3 linked regions of the Macaca fascicularis genome follow. The protein of the gene in region 1 interacts with the protein of each later gene in a biochemical or structural test. Links are inferred from orthologs where the notes say so. Each region holds a gene or a part of one and is shown on either strand. Other genes may lie near its edges. The genes, in order: LRRK2, CHGB and NEK1.

Evidence for each region.
Region 2: the proteins of LRRK2 (region 1) and CHGB interact on a protein array, tested with the Homo sapiens proteins (3 studies listed by BioGRID and IntAct, with this or other methods). The link is inferred for Macaca fascicularis from reciprocal best matches to the Homo sapiens genes LRRK2 and CHGB.
Region 3: the proteins of LRRK2 (region 1) and NEK1 interact on a protein array, tested with the Homo sapiens proteins (2 studies listed by BioGRID and IntAct, with this or other methods). The link is inferred for Macaca fascicularis from reciprocal best matches to the Homo sapiens genes LRRK2 and NEK1.

Annotation. Positions count from the first base shown.
Region 1 is NC_088385.1:46,716,648-46,720,307, reverse strand, and holds part of LRRK2 (leucine-rich repeat serine/threonine-protein kinase 2), read right to left. Parts: intron 2,506-3,660; coding exon 2,396-2,505; intron 1-2,395. UniProt on the Homo sapiens protein: Serine/threonine-protein kinase which phosphorylates a broad range of proteins involved in multiple processes such as neuronal plasticity, innate immunity, autophagy, and vesicle trafficking.
Region 2 is NC_088384.1:81,397,944-81,400,314, reverse strand, and holds the end of CHGB (secretogranin-1), read left to right. Parts: coding exon 1-576; intron 577-1,436; coding exon 1,437-1,514; 3' UTR 1,515-1,827; downstream 1,828-2,371. UniProt on the Homo sapiens protein: Secretogranin-1 is a neuroendocrine secretory granule protein, which may be the precursor for other biologically active peptides.
Region 3 is NC_088379.1:174,218,357-174,222,016, forward strand, and holds part of NEK1 (serine/threonine-protein kinase Nek1), read right to left. Parts: intron 2,068-3,660; coding exon 1,859-2,067; intron 560-1,858; coding exon 429-559; intron 266-428; coding exon 133-265; intron 1-132. UniProt on the Homo sapiens protein: Phosphorylates serines and threonines, but also appears to possess tyrosine kinase activity. Involved in DNA damage checkpoint control and for proper DNA damage repair.

The sequences.
Region 1 (3,660 bases):
TGTTGATATATTAAAATATAGAGAGATATAAAGATGTTAGTTTGTGTATATAAATTAAGAATTCATTTCAATATTTAAATTATTGATTGCTACTGTTTTTAAAAGAGAAATTAATAATATATTAAAAAGTGGGCCGGTAGCACTGGCTCACACCTGTAATCTCAGCACTTTGGGAGGCCAAGGCGGGGGGATCATGAGGTCAATAGATCGAGACCATCCTGGCCAACATGATGAAGCCCTGTCTCTACTAAAAATACAAAAATTAGCTGGGTATGGTGGTGCACTCCTGTAGTCCCAGCTACTCAGGAGACTGAGGCAGGAGAATCACTTGAACCTGGGAGGCAGAGGTTACAGTAAGCCGAGATCAGGCCACTGCACTCCAGCCTGGCAATAGAGCAAGACTCTGTCTCAAAAAACAAACAAAAAAAAAAAAGTGAACTTAACATATCAATAATGTTTAGTTCAAATTCATGAGATTTTAATCTCTATATTATTAATCCCAAAATATAATCTCTAGTCTATTCCTGCACAGCATTGTTTGGCGAATTGTTGGGAAAAGACTGAGCTGACCACATCTAGAGCTTTGTACGTATTCAAGAAACGTTGCATAATCTCCATTTGGCAGTTGGAGGAACTGAATGAAGCCAGTCTTCAATTCTCTGCCAGTCTTCCTCCTAATCACCCTGCCCCTACCTCTCCCTGTACCATTCCCACTCTTCCTGACTTTGACACCACGGAAGAAATTTTTCTTCAGAACTGGTAAGTCTTTGGAGAGAAAAGGCCTTGAAAAAACAGAAATCTGTTTTGCAATCAATTTTTGCCGGGAGTGACCTAATACACTCCACTGGAGAGAGCAGTGTGTCTATCTTCTTCACAACTGCATTGTTTCTGGCCTAGAGGAGGGGCTTAAAAAACATTTGATGAATGGAAGATGAATGACTGGATGAACAAAGTGAGTGAATGAGTAAGTGAGTGAGTGAACAAATTTCCTGTATAAATATTTATGTAATTTAATTTGAACAGCTGGTTTGAACAGGAATATGACTAGATGAGTTTCCCAAACACTCCCTGAGGTTATAGACTGGCTCATCTTTGGACATCTTGGAAATTCTCAACCAAACCAAGGGACACTTAAAAGTTACAATTGCTAATTACTGGTATATTCTGAGTAATTCCTCATCAAAAGCTGTATACTTTAGAACTGAAACATAGAATTACAAAGATTAGATTGAAGATGAGAACTCCAATTAATTGTAAATATGCTCTTTCCAAACACACCCTTTATGTACTGAAAACAAGAAGAGCAACACATTTGTCAAAGAGGGGAAAATGTATAAGCACAGATATGTTCACTTATGGCCAAACATATAGCTCTAATTTGTCTAAATTTGCAGCACTACTTGATACTGATCACCAATATAAACACCTAAAAATTTTTCATAAATTAAATTTTCATAAACTGTATACCATTGTAAGCCAGATATATTCACAATTTCCTTTTCCGTGGTAAAGAAAAGTCACATTACTATAAAAAAGATTTAAAGTTAATGACAGAAGGTTTGTTTGTTTGTTTGTTTGTTTGTTTGTTTGTTTTTGAGATAGAGTCTCACTCTGTCACCCAGGCTGGACAGCAGTGCTGCAATCTCGGCTCACTGCAACCTCCGCCTCCCAGGTTCAAGTGATTCTCCTGCCTCAGCCTCCCGAGTAGCTGAGAAGATATTTTTTAACTGTCAAGAAATAATGTATTTTCCTGAAAACACATTCTTCTTCAGAAAAGGTTTTCTTAATTAATTGTGGCTAAGGAAGTAGTCTCATTTAAGAAGTCATTATGCTGCAAACTGCAAAAACATAGCTGGTAAAATTGTCATCAAGATTTGGCTGCAGATGTGCTGAAAGGTAATTTCCTCTTTCTTACTCTTTTTGAAAGCCGTAGTTTAAACTTACTGTGTATATATATGAATATATATAAATGTACCATTTAAAGACAGAACATCAACTTTCAAATTACTACGTACAGAACTAACTTTTCTCAGTTCCCATTTTTTTAGGAACTAGTGGTTTGTATCAGTTCTATTATTAAAGGGCAAAATATCTTCATGGTTTGAATGCAAAAGTACTCATCAAAAATCTACAAGTTAACCAGTTTTATAATTATATGATTATATTATTAAAATAACTCCTGACATGTTACCTTAAATGTTTGCTTTCTAAATCAAACTTCTGAGTTTAAAGCTCTCTATAAATGTAAATCATTGACTCAAGGAAAAATATCTGTATTTCAAAGAATTTCACAAGAGTAGCCTTGGATTGCAAATTCAGTGTGTCAAAGGGAAGGTTTTTATGTGTATAGATAAATACTCAAGGCAGTTTGTTTTTACATATCTATCATACTTACTGGTGAACACCAAGGACTTCCCAATCATTTCCAACATCCTGGGGTCCCATTAAGCTTTGCATTGTACCCGGGCAGATTTCTATTAATTTGCACAGAAGTGACCAACCCACCTGAAAACAAGAAAGACATATATTCACGTGTTTTAAAGAATGTTAATAGAACATACTGAGTCAAACATGAATCTCTTCAGTCTTAGTGGAATATATGCTTATCTCACTTGTAAATAATTGTTATAAAACAAAATGATACCCTAAAATGCTTACCAAGAAACAAAAGCAAGCCATATCCTTAGGATACACCTTTCTCCAAAAATCAAACCAGAAAGACATACAAAAAATATAACATTTCGGCTGGGCATAGTGGCTCACGCCCGTAATCCCAGCACTTTGAGAGGCGGAGGCGGGTGGATCACGAGGTCAGTAGTTAGAGACCAGCATGGCAGAGGGTGAAATCCCGTCTCTACTAAAAACACAAAAATTAGCCAGGCATGGTGGTAAGGTTACAGGCATCTGTAACCTCAGCTACTCGGGAGGCTGAGGCAGGAGAATCACTTGAACCCAGGAGGCAGAGGTTGCAGTGAGCCGAGATTGCGCCACTGCACTCTACCCTGGAGGACAGAGCAAGACTCCATTTCCAAAAAAAAAAAAAATATATATATATATATATACACACACACACACACACATAAATATATATAATTTCTAAATTTTGAAGAACATAGACATGCCTATTGTCTAAGGCAAAATAAAATAAACTACAAAAAATAGTTTTAGAGGTTGTACCAAGATTATTAAGTGCAAGAACGGCTATACTGGATCCTTAGTACGTTTCTTTTCTTGTTTTTTTTTTTTTTTTTTGGTTTTGATTTGTTTTTGAGATAGGGTCTCACTCTGTCACCCTGGCTGGAGTGCAACGGCGCAATCACCGATCACTGCAGCCTAGAACTCACGGCATCAGGTGATCCACCCACTTCAGCCTCCCAAGTAGCTGGGACTACAGGTATGTGCCACCACACCCAGCTAATTTTTAAAACATTTTTGTGAAGACAGGTCTCTCTCTATATTGCTCAGGCTGGTCTCAAGCTCCTTGGCTCAAGCCTTCTGACGTGGCCTCTCAAAGTGCTGGGATTACAGGCGTGAGCCTCCGCACCTGGCCCTTAGTAGGTTTTAAGTAATAGCTACCTGACAGAATTTCCTCCACATATTTAAATTTTTAATTATAGGAAAAAATGAAGTGGCTTAAAATGAAGGATTAGGGCAAGTTGA
Region 2 (2,371 bases), on another chromosome or scaffold:
CAAGGTGCGTGGAAAGAGCTGGACAGAAATTACCTCAACTATGGTGAGGAAAGAGCCCAAGGGAAGTGGCAGCAGCAGGGAGACCTGCAGGACACTAAAGAAAACAGGGAGGAAGCGAGGTTTCAAGATAAACAATATGGCTCCCATCACACAGCTGAAAAGAGGAAGAGATTAGGGGAACTGTTTAACCCATACTACGACCCTCTCCAGTGGAAGAGCAGCCATTTTGAAAGAAGAGACAACATGGATGACAATTTTCTCGAGGGTGAAGAGGAAAATGAGCTGACCTTGAATGAGAAGAATTTCTTCCCAGAATACAACTATGACTGGTGGGAGAAAAAGCCCTTCTCGGAGGATGTGAACTGGGGGTATGAGAAGAGAAACCTCGCCAGGGTCCCCAAGCTGGACCTGAAAAGGCAGTATGACAGGGTGGCCCAACTGGACCAGCTCCTTCACTACAGGAAGAAGTCAGCCGAGTTTCCAGACTTTTATGATTCTGAGGAGCCGATAAGCACCCGCCAGGAGACAGAAAATGAAAAGGACAGGGCTGACCAGACAGTCCTGACAGAGGACGAGGTACAGTGTGGGGCTTCTGTTTAAAATTACTTACTTTGGTCAATGTTAGCACATTATGTTCAAGACTATCCGATATTAACGGGGAGAAATTGGTGGGAATTAATCACTATGAAAATGGTGACCTAGTAACAGAGTGGAGGCCACCTTGGGGGTCGGTTTCCACCTACCTTTAGCCATCGTCCACATCTTTGCCCACCTCACTCGGTCGCATTGCTTCTCAACCTTGTCCGCACACTGGGGTCACCTGGAGAGCATGAAAAATTACTGTTAGAGATTCTGTCTACTTAGTGCCTGGAGTGCTGCCTGATCATTAGAATATTTTAAAGCTTCCAGATGATTGCAGCGTTCAGCCAAGGTTGACAACTACTGTTCTGGTATCTTTCCCTTGGTCATCTGTCTGTTCATCACTCTCTCCCTGAGGTAGGGAGAATAGGTGATAGAGAAGTTTACTTGCTTTAGTTTGCTATCTTTATTATTTCATGCCCTACTGCCGTCAGAAATTTATATCTGGGAGAGGTAACACTGTTGGAGCTGTACCTACCCAAACAATGTTTTTTTCCTAATATTGATTAGGTAGGTTGTCCTTCTCAAAGTTGAATGTACATCGGGATCATGAGGGATTCCTAGCCCCCAGAGTTTCTCATTTAGTAGGTCGCAGGTGAGACCCCAAACTCTGCATTTCTGACAAGTTCCTGGCTGATGCCACCGGTCAGGGGACCACACTTTGAGAGTTACTGATGTAGGTTGACTAATGTAGCTTCCAACATGCCTAAAATTCCCCTTTCCATTCGTACTCCATCCAACTATAGCAAAATAAATTGGTTCGGGACCTCATGCCTCCACTTTTCTGTATTTTCCAGAAAAAAGAACTTGAAAACTTGGCTGCAATGGATTTGGAACTACAGAAGATAGCTGAGAAATTCAGCCAAAGGGGCTGACTGTCACTGGAGCAGAGGGCACTGTTAAGAAGCAGCCCTCACATGATCTGTTTTTCACCACTTCACTGAGAAGACACCATTTATCTATCCAAGGACAGAAAGTAGAACTTACTATTCGTTAAATGTTTGACACAATTGGAAATGTCTTTAATTTTTGCCAGAATGCTATTGAAAATGTTAATTGCATGACTTGTAGCATATTCTTTTCCGCAAAATAGACATATTAACATGCTTGTGACAATGACTGTGCTACTGTCTTTGGAAAAATGTTTGTCTCAGTTGCAAATAATAAAAGATTCACCTGAGACCAAAAGCTTCATTGTTCTCAGCTTCTTTTGGGCAAAGAGGGAGGAGTGTGACTTTTCAAATCTATTCTTTGAAGTAAATTGCAGAAGATGGCTCTAGGATTTGTTGGGTTTTGGATGCATAATAGGATACAAAAGCAAACCTTTTGAAGTAATGTGCAGGATATAAAGAGAAATAGATTAGAAAAAGATATCTACTCCCCTATGCTGAGAGAGATTACAGGGGCTTTAAGAACCTCTTTCAAAAACAATCATATGATATTACTTAAAAAATTCCTTTATGTAAAGAGCTCTAGAAGTAGCCAGCCGAAGTTCATTTTTCAGGGCTTAGAAGAAAGCTTGGATGAGGGGAAGAATTCCAGGGTGGAAGTGAAAACATCTGGCCTGTCCAGACAGATCTCTGGCCCCTCAGGTCTTGTCGGATTTCTACTCCTTAAGAAGATAGAGGCGGCTGGGCACGGTGGCTCACACCTGTAATCCCAGCACTACGGGAGGCTGAGGCAGGCAGATCACGAGGTCAGGAGTTTGAGACCAGCCTGGCTAACATGGTGA
Region 3 (3,660 bases), on another chromosome or scaffold:
ATTGCTTAAAAGTAATATAGTTCCCATGTAGATTTCACAAAACGGATGTGATGTAAGCTGAGTCATCTACATGTATCATCTTGTTTTTCTCACATTTATTGAAAATTATACAGACATGTGAGGAAATCTTACCTTCTTGGTAGGCTCCATCTGCCATGACTAAATGAAGAATCTTGGCATAAAGATGCTGATGTTCATTTCCCAAAATATTTTGAACTATTTTTGAACAAATTTCAATATTTTCATCTTCATCTTCATGAATAGCCTATACCAAATTCCCAAATATAAATTAGTATTTGAATAACTTTCTCTAATTGTAGACTTCCCTTTTTATTTATAATAAATCTAATGACCAATAAAGATCATTAACATTTCTCTAACCTTCAAACAGAGCACATTTTAAGTGTTTTAATTGACTTTTCACTTACCTTTATTTTCTCGTAAACCTCAAAGAATTTTTCAAAGCCCATTTCCTGCTCCAGATGAAGTCTCAGTTCCTCTAAATGGTTAAAGACACTATCGTATTCACATTCACTAGCATTTTCCCCATCACTGTTATCTAAAAAATAAAATTAAAATAGATATTTTGATTTAAAAAGACTGAATAAGATAACTCTTACCCTAATAGACTAAAATTCTATGACAAATGAATAATGCCATTGAAGTAGACTACTTCTACTTTCATTATAAACGGTTTTTGTCATTTTAATATTTGTCCTTTATTTGGTAAAAATTATGTATAAATCTGTCTAAACAAGAATGTTACTTTTCCTTTATAGATATAAAAAATAAGTCAGGATGGAATCAAAACACTCCTAGAGATGTTACTTAAATGAATAAAAAAGTGGAAAAAGCACACCTCCATATTTTGCTTTGAAGCAGCTAACCCTAACTACAAAAGTTGGTAATAAATGTGGGCCATACCATGGAAAAGCCTGCAGAAGGTAGACAACCTAAGACATACATCATTACATTTCAGGAAAGCACCTGGAAAGTATAAATGGCCAACATGTTTTGTCATGTACATGCTCAAGATACTTTGAAAAAAAACATTACTTAGTCTTTTCACATTAGCTTTTCTTCCTAAATTAACATAATATAGTTACTGAAATAGACACACTTTCTATGCATCTTAGGGGTAATGTTATGAAAGAGCAAATTTCCAAATTTATGAAACGAGTTTTTAGTACTTTAAAAACTGCTTTCAGTGTTAACCCTGCTGATTAATATATGCAGAAGCTCTTTCTAAAATATAGAATGACAAGAAAACAATGTTATTATCTTTATTACTGGAAAAATCAGTCAAGAAATGGAGATTAGAATAAAAATGCTTCAAAAAAGCATTGACATAATAGTAAAGAAAAAAAATTTAATAAAAAAATGGAAAATTGGCCGGGCGCGGTGGCTCAAGCCTATAATCCCAGCACTTTGGGAGGCCGAGGCGGGTGGATCACGAGGTCAGGAGATCGAGACTATCCTGGCTAACATGGTGAAACCCCGTCTCTACTAAAAATACAAAAAACTAGCCGGGCGTGGTGGCGGGCGCCTGTAGTCTCAGCTACTTGGGAGGCTGAGGCGGGAGAATGGCGTGAACCCGGGAGGCGGAGCTTGCAGTGAGCCGAGATCACACCACTGCACTCCAGCCTGGGAGACACAGCGAGACTCAGTCTCAAAAAAAAAAAAGGAAAATCACATATTTGTATGAAAAGAAAAAGAGTGAAAAATGGGAGAGACCCAGAGGCATGCTTCAGTTGTATTTAAAGTTGGAAATGGTCCACAGCAGAGATTAGAAAACTATATTCCACTTGAAATATCTGTAAACTGAAAAAGAAAAAGGTCCAAAACTCTGATTATGCACCTGAGTGCCATTCTTCGTTCAGGGCACTTTCACTGCTGGGATTGTCATCTTCATCCGCCACATCTGTCCCATTTGCAGTTGGCTCCACATCGCTGTTCTTTAAGACTGACTCTTCTTCTTCACTGTATTCTTCACTAGGTTGTTCCCTAAGTAACTGTTCCATTGAGGCCTGCAGCTCTTGTAAATCTGTGTCAGTTTCTTCAAACACACTGAAATTTAAAAGGTTTAACTGAAAGTTTCAAACATACTGAAATTTACGAAGTTAAACAACTAAAACTACCTCATGCTGAAATGTTACTTTTACTCAATATGTAGGCACTTCTACTTTAAAAATCCTAATAGATAACAAAAAATCTGGAAAAAACCTACATTGTTTTTCACCAGTAAGTTGACGATGAACACAACACATATTCTGGAATACATAAGCCAGAAGATGATTTGTTTAAATGATCCCAACTTGCCAAAGAGAATCACATAACTATTAATGTTACTCATTGCTTAAATTCTGAAACAATGTTTTGATATTTTAAGAGGCCAGACTATAGAAGTTTTTCTAAAACAAATAATAGTAAATTATTTTCTCTTTTATGGAATTCTGTAATTTTCAAAATATCCATGTGGCTAATAGCTAGACACTATACAAAAGGCTTTCCATATAAATGCCCATTGGGCATTTGAACTTTTAGAAACAGAAATACTTAGGAAATTATATATTCATGTTAACAGGATGACCCAGTGAATAAAATGGTCACCAGAAATCTTATCTTTAGATGCTTATTCTTAAAAATGTTCTAAAATACATAATAAATAGATTTTCTGTGTAACTACCCTATACCAACCATCATAATTCTTCACTGGAGAATCTTGTTTCTAAAGTATTGGTCAGAATATTAATTCTGTTTTCATGGGATTATAGATGCTGGAATGAAATAAGTCACATAAATAATACCTTACATTTATATAGAACTTTCGTTTTTTAAACAGTTTTATCCTATTACTCAAATTTTATCCATAAAAAATCACTTTAGAGACATGAAAACTATGAACCAAAGTGTTTAAATGACTTGGTCAAGGCCACATAGTCAGTAAATGACAGAGCACTGAAATCTAGGCCTTTGACCACTTCTGTAATATCCAAGGAACATACTCAGAAATTTTTTTTGCCTTTTGTGATTTGCTTCTTTCTTCTAACATGGAATGTAAATGGAAAAGTTTGTAGACTAAAGGAGTTAATTGATGTTTTAGATGTCTGAAGACTTCTGAAAGAGATTGTGAACCTAAGCCGAGGATTTCATCTATCAGGAAGGCAATGCTTAATAGAACACAAGGGCTAATTAAGGCTTTTCTAAGAGTTTAGACTCAAATCAAATATGTACTGAAGAACTAAAATATAAACACTATTGTGCAAGACTGTCAATATAATTTCCATTAAGAGAAAGAGTAAATAATCTTTTTATGTAGAAATATCTTCATTTTGTACTTATATATACAAACTCCTATAATTTGACTTGTAGGAGCTATAGAAAATCTAGGCATCTAATTAGAATGAGAAAATAGTGTCTAATCTCTTGACTCATCCCACTAGTAGCATTTAACTTAACATACAATTACAAGACTAATTTAGGCTGGGTGCAGTGGCTCACGCCTGTAATCCTAGCCCTTTGGGAGGCTGAGGCAAGAGGACTGCTTGAGGCCAGGAGTTTGAAACCAGCCTGGGCAACATAGCGAGACCTCTCTAGAAAAATATTGCAAAAAACTTGGCTAGGCGTGGTGGCATGAGCCTATATTCCTAGCTACTAGGG